Arabidopsis thaliana: one gene and its partner. The protein of the gene in region 2 interacts with the protein of the main gene of each other region in a pairwise test. Each region holds a gene or a part of one and is shown on either strand. Other genes may lie near its edges.

The links. The genes of interacting proteins can lie anywhere in the genome.
Region 1: the proteins of MTA (region 2) and FIP37 interact in binary tests that used the Arabidopsis thaliana proteins (3 or more experiments, as listed by UniProt).

The regions. Positions count from the first base shown.
Region 1 is NC_003074.8:20,054,428-20,060,808, forward strand, and holds FIP37 (FKBP12 interacting protein 37), read left to right. Parts: upstream 1-2,236; 5' UTR 2,237-2,420; coding exon 2,421-2,490; intron 2,491-2,574; coding exon 2,575-2,683; intron 2,684-2,766; coding exon 2,767-2,803; intron 2,804-2,902; coding exon 2,903-2,990; intron 2,991-3,089; coding exon 3,090-3,154; intron 3,155-3,244; coding exon 3,245-3,322; intron 3,323-3,442; coding exon 3,443-3,490; intron 3,491-3,867; coding exon 3,868-3,921; intron 3,922-4,195; coding exon 4,196-4,357; intron 4,358-4,502; coding exon 4,503-4,572; intron 4,573-4,655; coding exon 4,656-4,711; intron 4,712-4,813; coding exon 4,814-4,969; 3' UTR 4,970-5,156; downstream 5,157-6,381. Other genes in the region: AT3G54160 (RNI-like superfamily protein), read left to right, coding at 67-207, 289-600; CDKB1;1 (cyclin-dependent kinase B1;1), read left to right, coding at 5,455-6,082, 6,177-6,246. UniProt on the Arabidopsis thaliana protein: Probable regulatory subunit of the N6-methyltransferase complex, a multiprotein complex that mediates N6-methyladenosine (m6A) methylation at the 5'-[AG]GAC-3' consensus sites of some mRNAs.
Region 2 is NC_003075.7:6,618,872-6,625,653, forward strand, and holds MTA (mRNAadenosine methylase), read right to left. Parts: upstream 4,511-6,782; 5' UTR 4,442-4,510; coding exon 3,368-4,441; intron 2,605-3,367; coding exon 2,506-2,604; intron 2,292-2,505; coding exon 2,208-2,291; intron 2,117-2,207; coding exon 1,785-2,116; intron 1,709-1,784; coding exon 1,492-1,708; intron 1,401-1,491; coding exon 1,321-1,400; intron 1,248-1,320; coding exon 1,076-1,247; 3' UTR 946-1,075; downstream 1-945. Other genes in the region: AT4G10750 (Phosphoenolpyruvate carboxylase family protein), read left to right, coding at 1-929. UniProt on the Arabidopsis thaliana protein: Catalytic subunit of the N6-methyltransferase complex, a multiprotein complex that mediates N6-methyladenosine (m6A) methylation at the 5'-[AG]GAC-3' consensus sites of some mRNAs.

The DNA.
Region 1 (6,381 bases), on a different chromosome or scaffold from region 2:
TCTTGCTAGTGATTAGAATGTTTGCTCAAGTAATGACTGACTTAGTTGTTTTTAATTCTGTTTCAGGTGTTTTGTTTCTTCGAAGAAGCAGTACCAGTGTTTGAAAACCTGTTTCATTTATCACTTAGCACTGAAGTAGATTTCTGTTGGAATGTTCTACCAATTCTGCTTGAGAAATCTCCAAATCTAAAGACTCTCACCATTCAGGTATGACCTAAGACCCCCAAAAGTATATTGGACAAACTAAAGAGTCAAAATCTTCAATCTCAAAATTCCTGTCTTTTCTAGGCTTTGCATTATACTACTAATCACTATGGGGATGAGAACACTGTTTGCGATTGTTTGGAGGTGTATTCTTTCTTATCGTCCTGCCATATTGAGGTTCTAAAGATAACCCAGTTCAAGGGAGATATCGGAGAGATGGTGCAAATAAAGCATATCTTGGAGAAATTGCCGAGTCTTGAGCTGTTGGAAATTCATGGTCAGGTAAAAGGAGATGACAAAAAGCTGCAGATCATGTTGGATCTCCTAATGTTCGAAAGAGCTTCGTCTGAATGCAAAGTCGAGGTCAAGTTTCCAGTTTGTTTTGCCTCAGCATGAACTTCCATATCTGATAAGAGAAACAAATGAGCTTCCGGTTTGTTGTTGACATGAGAGCTGGTTTGTTTAGTGTCTTTCTTATCCATGCAATTTCTGTATATAACAGCTTGACATTTTTGTCATCTTTGGCTCCTTGTTGTGTCGTTTCTTCGTGCCTAATTCACTTGAGTTTGTAAGAGAGATGCTATAGCTATTAGCTATCAGCTACGTTAGGTCTACTATGACTCATTTGTGCTGTATGTTATTGTTACTTTACAGTTTACACAGTCTATTTGACAATTTGGTAAATGGGATATGATTTGACTGATGTTGTTTGTTTCGGCTCTAGTAACATTGTAGTTTATATGTTTTATCAACGAGCTAAAAATATCTCAGTATATGCAATGCGCAGAGAACTAGAACAAAGCTTGATTTAAAAAAGAAACACATCATAAACCAACATACACAAGAACTAGATGATTATGGCTACAAGAGACTAAAGTTGTTATATAGATTGTGTCCAGAGATACAAATACAATACACACGAAGTCATTAAGCATTGACACTCAATTGTTACAAAACCCGAAACCATCACACATAAACGTAGCCATAGTCAGATAATGAGAAGAGAAACACAAATACGTAGCCATAGACAGATAATGAGCAGAGAAATATAGTTGAATCTCTTTTTTTTCACCTAGTAAATAATGAAATTGCTAACAAAAAAGGGATTTTATTTGTATTTTAGTCAAATAAGTAATCTACATAGTATTTTTGCAAAATTTTTTGTCGGGATGCATTTAGATCAATTTGGTATCCGCCCATTTTAATAATTTTGTTCATTGAGTCTTAGTTGGGTCGGTTCAAATAAAACTCGATTCTAGACCTGTTTTAAAAACTTTTACAACGGATATTTCCAGATTAAACAATATTAATAATTAGAAGATTTGGTTAACATTTAAAACTATAAATCTTCTTTCATCTTTGTTTGAATTTTTTAACTGTTTTAAATCAATATATAAAATTAAAAATAAATCTCAAGTTTTTATCCTACATATATTGTGATTCGAAATTTTAAAAATGGACATATGTTATCTAATGGACGAAAAATGTGTGGGTTCACGGTTCACCGTTTCACATCAGCTAAAATTAAACAATGATTTAAAATCATATCATAAATAAGTTCAACATTAATAAAATAAATAGGTTTTTTGGCTAGACGAATTTAACGAAACGGGTTTTTAAATCAACATTAATAAAAAAGTAATATATCATTAATTCACTGTTTTAATACAGATTAAATCCTTAATTTATTATTTTTAACACCACCAATATTAAACATATCAAATCAGTTTGAATAGAAAATATTGTATAAAACAAAAAAAAATGTTCCGTACTATAATGTTACTTAATAACAATTATAAATTATAAAATATAAATATTTCAAAAAATAATATAATTTGTAAACTTTTATCCATAATAAATAGCCATTAAAATTTAAAAATTACTATTTTTAGAAAACAAATTACGAATTAGAATAAGAAATTACAGAACATGATATATTTTGGAACAGAATAATATGGCGAACGATTTTGAATAAATATTTTTAAAATTTTAAATAATATTAATATGCCATTTTAATACTAGTTAAATCTTCAATTTACTATTTACGATTGTCTCCTGAACACCTGTTATACCATTAGTAAAAAAACGGATCCATGACCGATTGACCACGTTCTCGTCTTCCCCCAAATCTAAAACCCTAAATTCTCAATTGCTCGTCACACTTCGTCACTCCACCAGCGACAATCGCCGCAGAAACCTCTACGAAACTTGCTACAATGGAGTTTTCATCACAAGACGACGATTTTGGAGGAGACGATTCCGCTGCTAATGCCACCAGGGCTTCAGGTCCCGACATTAATGGATTTCTCTTAATTCATGGTTTTTGTTTAAGGTTGGATTGGACATTAATTTCTCATCTGTATCATTCAGGTAATAGAAGAAGCTTCGGTGATCTTGAAGACGATGAAGATGATATTTTCGGATCAACAACGGTAGCGCCTGGTGTTAGAACTGGGATGATTTTGTCTCTCCGAGGAAGGTTATTATCCAATCCTTTCTTCATGTATGAGAAAAATCTTTGATGTATAATTCTAACTTTCTTTTGCTTTTTCTCTTTGGCAGTCTTAAGAATTGTAAAGATGATCTTGCTTCATGTCAAGTAAGCATTGTTACTGTTCATCCCTAATCTGTTTGAATTCTATACCATTGCTGTTTATGGTTGCTTCGCTTTTGCATCTAACTATATCGTTTTGGTTAGAATGAGCTCGAGTCAGCAAAAACAGAGATTCAGAAGTGGAAGTCAGCGTTTCAGAATGAGTCCTTTGTTCCCGCTGGAAAATCTCCTGGTTAACCTCTCTTTCTCAATTTTGTTTTGTACATTTGTATATGCGATGTTAATTCTTGAGCATTCAATATGATTCTGTTTGGTACTTTTTTTTTTCCAGAACCAAGATTTTTGATTGATTATATTCAAAACCTAAAATCTTCTGAGAAATCTTTGAAAGAACAGGTTTGTACTTGAGTAATAACTTGTGTGTATATATCAATATGAAGGTCTTGATTTTCAAATAAGGTTTGGTTGTTGTTTCTCTCTTTTCAGTTAGAAATCGCAAAGAGAAAAGAAGCGTCATGCATTGTACAATATGCGAAACGGGAACAAGAAATGGCAGAATTGAAGGTAATTCTCGAGAAACTCATTGCCTACCACTTTGATTCCTGACTGATGCTATCACATGTTTTCTTGACCATTACATAGAATAGATGTCGCTAAACACAGTCTTGTATTTTGTATTTCTAGTCAGCTGTTCGCGATTTGAAATCTCAACTCAAGCCAGCGTCAATGCAGGTATATAGTTCTCCCAATGTTTTGATTCTGGAATAATTTATACAATTGTGCCAACAATACAAATCGTGAAAAAAGTTAGCTGTTGAAGTAACTTGGACTTTTCTAGGCATAGTCCGCTTTTTATGCCGTAGTGTACCTTTTATGACGGTCATCCTCGACCTTGATGCATGTAGAGGGAAACCTTTTCCTTGCCTTTTAGATTTCAGTCTGAATACGATGATAAGCGCATGTTTCTTGTAAACCTTTACCTGGCATCTGAATTATTAACAAGTCTGAATAGAAGAAATGGCTATAAATTTTGAATTGCAATGGTCATTTAGCAGCTTGTCATGATCAGATAGCAGTGTAGATTATTTATTCTTTGTTTACCTTTGTAGGCGAGGAGGTTGTTACTGGATCCAGCAATTCATGAAGAATTTTCACGTCTGAAGGTCTGCACCTACTCGTTTCTATTTACCCTTAGACTACTTTTTCATAAGGATGTATTTGTCGTAATATATCCTTAGATAATCCAAACTGTATCTACGGAACAAAATTCCGCTTTCGTTATGAATGGCCTGAAAGAATAATTCCTTAATAACTGATAGCTGACACTGTCGTAGTAGATACAGTTGAGGACGAACATTCCCAACTTTTTGTTAATGTACATTTGTTGCAGTTAAGTAAAGAGTAGATGAAGTTTGATTCCATGTTTCTATTATGCAGAATCTAGTAGAGGAAAAAGACAAGAAGATCAAGGAACTCCAGGACAACATTGCAGCAGTTACTTTTACTCCTCAAAGCAAGAATGGAAAGATGCTTATGGCAAAGTGCAGAACCCTGCAAGAGGAAAATGAGGAGATTGGGCACCAAGCTGCCGAAGGAAAGGTATAGTTTGTTCTACTCTCAGTCTTCAATCTGGAATTATATGAATTATATAGTAAAGCAGTAGTCTTCTTCAACCTTTGTAAAACATGATTCCCTGAAAAGGGTAAAGAAATTGATGCTTGCCTATGTTCATGTGGAATGGCAGATTCATGAACTAGCAATAAAGCTTGCAATGCAGAAGTCTCAAAACGCGGAACTTAGAAGTCAATTTGAAGGTAAGTCATATGTTGATATTAAGTTATAGCAAAGATTTTTGTAGAGTTTGCAATTTGGATTTGAGGATTTTTGTGGAATGCAGGACTGTACAAACACATGGAGGAATTAACTAATGATGTTGAGAGATCAAATGAAACGGTGTTGATCCTTTTCTCTTATCTCTTAATTCCTCAAGATTTTTCTTAAAACGGAAGAATGATTATGGTTTTGTTGGAAATATGTGACTTTGATAAATCTCAGGTGATAATATTGCAAGAGAAACTGGAAGAGAAAGAGAAGGAGATAGAGAGAGTAAAGAAAGGACTGGAAATTGTGTCTGAGCTAGTAGGTGACAAGAAAGATGAAGTTGATGAAATTGATGAAGATGCAAAAGAAGAAATTGCTGGTGGAGAATAGGAATTTGTAGCTTTCAAAAAATGTTTTGTACATTTTGAAGTTCAAAATCACATTTCTTCATTCGTTATCTGTTTCATGAAACAGAAAGTTCTAATCTTCATCTTCTATTAATATGTTTTAATTCGCACCATTGGTGTTTCGATATCGATATGTGGCTTCCCGATATAACTCGTGAAGAATTTGAACTCGTCAACTCACGCAAATCATCTGAGTAGATATCAGATTAGACCAAAATAAGTGAGTCCAATTAGTTTTCCCCAAAAACATTCACAGAGGTCACGACTTTAGGTTAATCTGTTGCAGTTGTCACGAACGAATTCAAAATCCAAAGGAGCGGGAAAAACGAAGTGACGTGGAAGTATCTTAGCGAAAGCATCTCTCTCTCTCTCTCTCACAATCCATCATCTTCATTAATCTGATCAAATAATAGGGTTAATCAAAAGTCCAGAAACCAACACAGTTCAATTTTACGAAACCTCTCAGAAATGGAGAAGTACGAGAAGCTAGAGAAGGTCGGAGAAGGAACATACGGGAAAGTCTACAAAGCGATGGAGAAAGGAACTGGTAAGCTTGTTGCTCTGAAGAAAACTCGTCTCGAGATGGACGAAGAAGGTATTCCACCAACTGCTCTTCGTGAGATCTCGCTTCTCCAGATGTTATCAACATCGATCTATGTTGTTCGATTACTCTGCGTCGAACATGTTCATCAACCATCAACCAAATCTCAATCTACCAAATCCAATCTCTATCTCGTTTTCGAGTATCTCGATACTGATCTTAAGAAATTCATCGATTCGTATAGGAAAGGACCTAATCCTAAGCCTCTTGAGCCTTTTTTGATTCAGAAGTTGATGTTTCAGCTTTGTAAAGGTGTTGCGCATTGTCATAGTCATGGTGTGCTTCACCGTGATCTTAAACCGCAGAATCTTCTTCTGGTGAAAGATAAAGAGCTTCTTAAGATTGCTGATTTGGGTCTTGGTCGTGCTTTTACTGTTCCTCTTAAGTCTTATACGCATGAGATTGTTACTCTTTGGTATAGAGCTCCTGAAGTTCTTCTTGGATCTACTCATTATTCAACTGGTGTTGACATGTGGTCTGTTGGTTGTATCTTTGGTTAGTAGTCTCAATTATGCTTTTATGTTTTTGAATTCGTCTCTCTGCGATGTGATTTTGTATTTATGCTGTTTCAATCTTTGAATTTGTATAGCTGAGATGGTTCGGAGGCAAGCTCTTTTCCCTGGTGATTCTGAGTTTCAGCAATTGCTTCATATCTTCAGGTATTTTGAATTTACCTTCCATTACTTCTTCTGGTTTTGTCCTGTTTCAGTGTGAATTGCATCACTGAATGATATGCTAGCTTACCAATTGAGAACAACTGATTCTATATAGTCCAGGTTTCTTTGACCAATTAT
Region 2 (6,782 bases):
CCCTAACTCCAATTCGATACTCTTCATCTCCCGCCGATCACTCACCCGCCACCGCCGTGGAAGCGATCACGAATCGATCCAAAACCTCCTTGAAATCTCGTCTCCGTGGAGGAGAAACTCTCTACGGTCTCTTTTTACTCTCCTTCTCGCCGACATTAGCCGAGATCGCTGCTCACGCCGGTTACGATTACGTCGTCGTTGATATGGAACATGGTCCCGGAGGTATACCGGAAGCTTTGGATTGTATTCGAGCTCTTAACGCCGCCGGAACATCAGCCATTCTCCGATTACCGGAAAACTCACCAACCTGGGCTAAAAAAGCTCTAGATCTAGGTCCACAAGGAATCATGTTCCCAATGATCGAATCTCGTAAAGACGCTACCAAAGCGGTGTCGTATTGCCGGTTTCCTCCCGACGGTATCCGTGGATCGGCGCACACGGTGGTGAGAGCTTCTAACTACGGAATCGATGAAGGGTATTTAAGTAATTACGCAGAGGAGATTCTGATTATGTGCCAGGTGGAATCAGGTGAAGGAGTGAAGAAAGCTGATGAAATCGCAGCCGTTGATGGTGTTGACTGTGTGCAAATGGGACCGTTGGATCTTAGTGCGAGTTTAGGGTATTTGTGGGATCCTGGACATAAGAAAGTGAGAGAGATGATGAAGAAGGCTGAGAAATCTGTGCTGACCACTGATCCGGCGAAAGGCGGGGCTTACTTGTCGGGTTTCGCGATGCCGCACGACGGAGCTGGTGAGATTCGGGGACGTGGTTACCATATGGTCGCCGGAGCTGTTGATGTTGGATTGTTTAGGAATGCTGCTGTTGAAGATGTGAGGAGATTCAAGATGGGTTTGGTCAATGAATCGGACAGTGAGGATTCGTCGGAACATGATAAAGATGTTGATGATGAGAAGTACTGGAGCGAATAAGCAAAATTTCAAATTTCGTTAATGTTGTTTCCTTTTAACTTTCCATAAAGATTTACAAAATCATGATGCCACAAATGTTTCAAAAACGAAAGCAACATGAATCCAACAAAGCTGAGACATTTGGCTTTGTTTTTTTTGGAATTGAACTAAGCTGTGATTGAGTCAATAGCCATTGGTTCGTTGTCTGTTTCCATTGCAGAGGCTCTTGGTGGTGATGGTGGCTGGACATCTATTTCAGGGTATGATGCTTTAAACCGAGCTCGAAGACCTTCGTTTATTAATCGGACACCGTTAAGCTGGTTCCCAAGTGATAGCCATCTATAACCAACAGTAGACTCATAAGATTCATGACAACAATATCATATGACAGTTAAAAGGTCAAAAACTTTACCCGGCATGAGCATTGTGCATACGGGCGAATAACTCGAGCTTTCTTGCTCTTGGCATGATCCTCTCTAACATTGCATACATCTGGTGGTTGACAAGCATTCTCATCACACAAGAGTCCAGAATCATACTAATTCGAAACGATTTGGAAAAATGTGGGTAATTATGGACAAACCTCGTCTGGCTTCCGGCTTGTTTCTCTAACCTCTGCGACAATCACATCTGTGTCGATGTTTCTGTTCACTTCTGGATTTCCTTTGATTCCAACCAGACAATGCTCTTTGCTATGGTTGAGCCAGTGACCTGTTCTTCCTGTTCGAATAATACGTTGAAGTTGATTTGTCTTTACCCATATGATCTCTTCCACTCGCTTGTATCCCCAAAGCTCCAAACTTAAAAAAAAAAAAAAAACTCCATTAGAGTGGAAAAGCACATGAACACAAAATTTGTTGAGATTTTTCTAAGTACCATTCACGGCCTAGTTCCATAGCACGACCAGTGACCCAGAGGAAAATCAAACCGTCAGTCTGTAACGAGGGAACATTAAGAGTTCGCATTTCGTCATCAGCCATTGTTCCATATGGAAGTTCCATGTGAATGTCCCATGGTGGATCCGCCATAACAACTCCAAAGGTTCCCAAAATGTCCATTCGAAAAGAACGGATGTCACAGTTAATCCATTGTGCCTCACCAAGTTCAGCTTCAGAACAGTAATCAGCACGTAGAGGCTTCAATGCCTTATCTGGACCAGCCATCATAGCGTCAGCCATGTCGAGCTCGTAATGCACGTATTTGCAAGTCTGTCCAAATTCAAAATAATGGTTGCTCTGTTACCATATATCTACACTTAACCGAAGTACTATCACACAATTGTGACCAAAAAAAAGTTACCTTCATGTGACGACAAGTATCGAGAAAGGAACAATCTCCTAGGCTAACGTCAGTATGTGAAGCGATTAGTCGACGGAAATGTCTCTGAAAGTATACAGAATTCATAAAAACTAAGTAGATTTCAGCAAAGCAACATAGACACCATAGCAGGAGATCAATATAAACCTCACAAAATAACAAACAAAAAACTTGACATGCAAACCAATCCTAATTTGTTCGCTATGGAATTCTTAACAATATAACATTCTGAATTTCCTATCAAATAAGATGTACATTGTAAATTTGAGTTGGTTCAAACCTTGTTGCAGGCTATGTGAGAACCAGACTGAAGACGGCAATCCTCTTTAGTTAAATACCTACAGTAATACTTAACCTGTGATCCTCCTTTGCTTTTAAACTGTAAGGAACATAAAAATATAACAGTCAATCACAAGATCCAAGCTGTTTATTAGAAGATGAAATGAAAACTAACAAAACATAACACCTAGAAGAGTTGAGGCTAGAAACAGTGACAGGTCTCACAAGATACCAAGAGAGAAAGTCACAACAAACACACAAGTTTTGTGGAAAGAGATCTTTGCTTTCGCTACATCGATATTGAAACTAGAAAGTAGAAACTATGTATCAAAAACTTTCAACCCCACCCCACACTGAGAGACAAAACACACAAGTGTTGTGATAACTAGTTAAACACGCTTATAAACATTAAGCATCTAGATCCGTAAGGTGATTATTTTCAATAGAAGGCTCCTTGCTTTCAGAACATATGGCCACATAGGAGCATCACTATCAGCATCCAAACCGAAGAAACACACATCTAAGTTATATAGCTCTTTGCTTTTCACCCTACTGCTTTTCACAAAATGGCATAGTATCTGCTCCCCTATAATCTTGATAACAAACTACTATGGATACTAACTACTAAGATGGCTAATAGCTTTCTCCAGAACTTGTTCACGAATCATACACTATCTAATCCGCTATCTACGCCAAATTAACACAGCTTTGGATCAACAACTTATCTAGTCTGCTGTGAACTACACTATGTGTTTTCCTCCTCAATTCCTTTTGAAAGCTTATATACTCACATTTACATTCACATATAGTTTTGTATTAAAAAAGCATGTATTTAACTAAAGACTATAGTTAACTGAGTTCACCTTAGCAGCAGTAGCGGCTTCTTTAGCGGTTGGACGGTGAATCAGATCAAGCAACTCCTCACCTGTCCTAGACTGTTGCTTCTCCTTAAAAGACTTCTTACTCAAAAGAGCCTCAACATCTTTCAAATCCTCTTCCTCACTTCTAAGCTTCTGATTCGACGGTACAGGCAACGGCAAAGGCAAAGGAAATGGTGGTGGTCTACCCATTATCCCCATTGGATGATGCATTCCCATCATTTGCATTCCTCTTGGTGCATTCATCATTGGCCTAAACCCCATATTAGGATCACCTCCCCACATCTCAGGTCTCGGGAAATTACCCGACCCGGAAACACCAAACCCGCCACCAGAAACAGTAGCATTCTCAATTGAATTAGGCGTTTCGACAACCCGATTCGATTCGTTATTCCCTTGGAAACTCTCTGGTAACTCTTTAAGCAATCTAGTTCTATCTATAGCTAAAACCATGATCCTAGGCTTCCCACTAACCTCAAACTCTTCCAATTCCACAGAACCATTCTCTTCCGCCATCGATTTAAGTGCGGTCTCCACCGCAAGAATCGGTCCACATTCACCGCCTAAATCTCGTAACGCCGCCTTCTCCGCCGGTCTAGCATTCTGGTCATTCTCAAGCTTCCTAAGCACAGTAGAAGAATCCGTAGGAGAAAACGGTACACGTTGAAGCAAACACTCAGCAACCATAGCTCTAACAAGCGCCATAGGACTCCCACTAGACCCATCAGCTTCAGCATCTCTCTGATTCGAATCAACAAGCATCGATTTTGAATCATGCCCATGTAATTGTTGCAGTTGGGTTCCTAATTTAACAATCGGATGATGCTTCTTCTCAACTTTGGGTTCTGGTAATGGTGGTGTAGCTACGAAAGGTCGATTCGTGAAAGAAGAGATGAGTTTGAGTGAGAGATCGAGAGATGGGACTATATCGGGAACAATGGATTGGAGTGAGGAAAGGAGATCTAAGTGAGCGTCGTGTTGGGTTCGAATTCGATTCTCTAATCGAACTCTCATGTCTTTGACGACGGTAATGGTGGCGTCATCAGATTCAGTTTCCATGGCTTCGAAACAAAAGAATTCGAGAGAGAGTTTGTGCAGGTCTTTAGCTTGAAAGAAAGTTAAAAAGGGTTTTAGCAAGTAAGTCACTAAAACGATGTCGTAGCAGTTTTAGGTCACGAAAAATGTAAAGGAGCACGATGATAAGTTTTTTTTTTTTTGTCGGACACGATGATAAGTTGATAACATAAAACGGTAAAAATATTTTTGGGTGTTTAGTTAGATAATTGTAGGATATTTTAAAAATGTAAGAAAAAGTTATATGTAGGGTAATTTAAAAATGTAAGAAAGGGTTATAAGAAATTTACAAATAACAACTAGTTTAGTATATGATTTTAAGATTTCAGTTCTTTGTATTTTATTTTGGATCAACAAAATCCAAATTTTTGCACTTTTCTTTTCTTTATCACGGAAAGTGATTTAGTTTGTTGGAGTTGAATTCTGATAAAAAAAATATAGCAGAGGTGAACCGTTAACCCTAAAAATCGAAGCTCTAAGTATCGCAAAAATCGACAAGGTTGACCTAAAATAATATTTTTTTCTCTCGTCTTCCTGCTTTAACACAAAGTGACCAGCGCGTGGAGGCTCAAATAGCACCAGCGTCAGTCACCTTCTTTGTTTCTCTGCATAGTTTTTCATTTCTTGTCTTTGTATTCTTTGTTTGTGGAAGCATCGAGGCTCTACATTTTGGAATAGTGGGTGTTGTGGGGCAGATTTAATGAGGTTGGGTCTTGGTACTCAGATCTATAGGATCTGTTGGTCAAGGGTGTTCTTGGGTCATCGTTCTTGTTCGGTGGTCACAGAGTGGAGTCACAACGTCGTCTTTGTCGGGTGGTTCTCTTCGCTGAGTCTTGACGGACTTTGGAGGCTTTTGCTTCTCTCTTGACGGCTCGTTTCTTTTCTCCCAAAGCTGCATCTGTGCAACATTGGATCGCCTCCTCGATATCTCGGTATCTCCAATGTCTCTCATGTATTCCTCTTTTGTGTCGACTTGTTGCTCTGATCAGTTCGTCTCTGTGAGATATGGTAACATCAGAGGATTAGGTTTAATTGTCTCCCTCGTTTGGACTTCCGTCTCCCTTGTTTGGGCTAATCTTCTCTTCCCGACTAAGTTAATCTTTGTTAGTTTGGGGTTGAGCACTTTGATTATATTTGAGTTTTCTCTCATCGTGTAGCAGATGATGGTTTGCTTAATTTATTGATCGTTGTGGCGTTAAAACGTCTAAGTGGTTCTCGATTATCTTACGGTTCATCCGGAAGACCCTTGACAAAGGCACTCATTGAAAAAGAAGCATTTATTGAGAAGGCCAAGTTCCACTATCTTGTTATTGCCATAAGTTATGAAGAAGCCCCTCTTCATAATTTGTTGTGCGGGAAGTCTTTATGGTGAGCTTCGAGAGCTTCGTTTAGTCTCGAGACAAGATTTGTTTGGTTTTTACAATGTATTATCGGAAAATTCCTTCCTTATCTTGTCGTAGGTTATGGGTCGAGCATGGTGTCTTCTTGAAGTTTAAACTTTTATTTTCTCATGTGTATTGTAACGTTTCCAATCTAATCTTATTATATAAAGTACAGTTTTGAAAGTTACTAACTCACGAGATCATGACACGTGGTTATTTAAACGATCTTAGATTTTGACATATGTTTGATTTTTTTTTTACTTTTTCCTAAAAGAAAATAGGAAACTAAAAAACAAAGATATTTATATATACTAATTAATATGTTTATATCTAAATATTTAACTTACAATTTTCTTAACTAAAATGTAAAACTAACAATAAGATGGAGTGTATATAATTAAATTATATAAAAAACTAACAACAAGATGGAGTGTATATCATTAAATTATATATTTTATTATGGTAAAATAGGTATTTAAATTGTATTGCAAAATCGAATTTGTAAGATTGAAATTTGGTTTAAAGAAATACTAAATTACATACTGAAAAAGTATGAGAGTTACGTTACTATTTGAAATTCAAATCTTATTATATAAAGTACAGTTTTGAAAGTTACTAACTCACGAGATCATGACACGTGGTTATTTGAACGATCTTAGATTTTGACATGTTTTTGATTTTTTTTTACTTTTTCCTAAAAGAAAATAGGAAACTAAAAAAAAAAGATATTTATATATACTAATTAATATATTTATATCTAAATATTTAACTTACAATTTTCTTATCTAAAATGTAAAACTAACAATAAGATGGAGTGTATATAATTAAATTATATAAAAAAACTAACAATAAGATGGAGTGTATATCATTAAATTATATATTTTATTATGATAAAATAGGTATTTAAATTGTATTGCAAAATCGAATTTGTAAGATTGAAATTT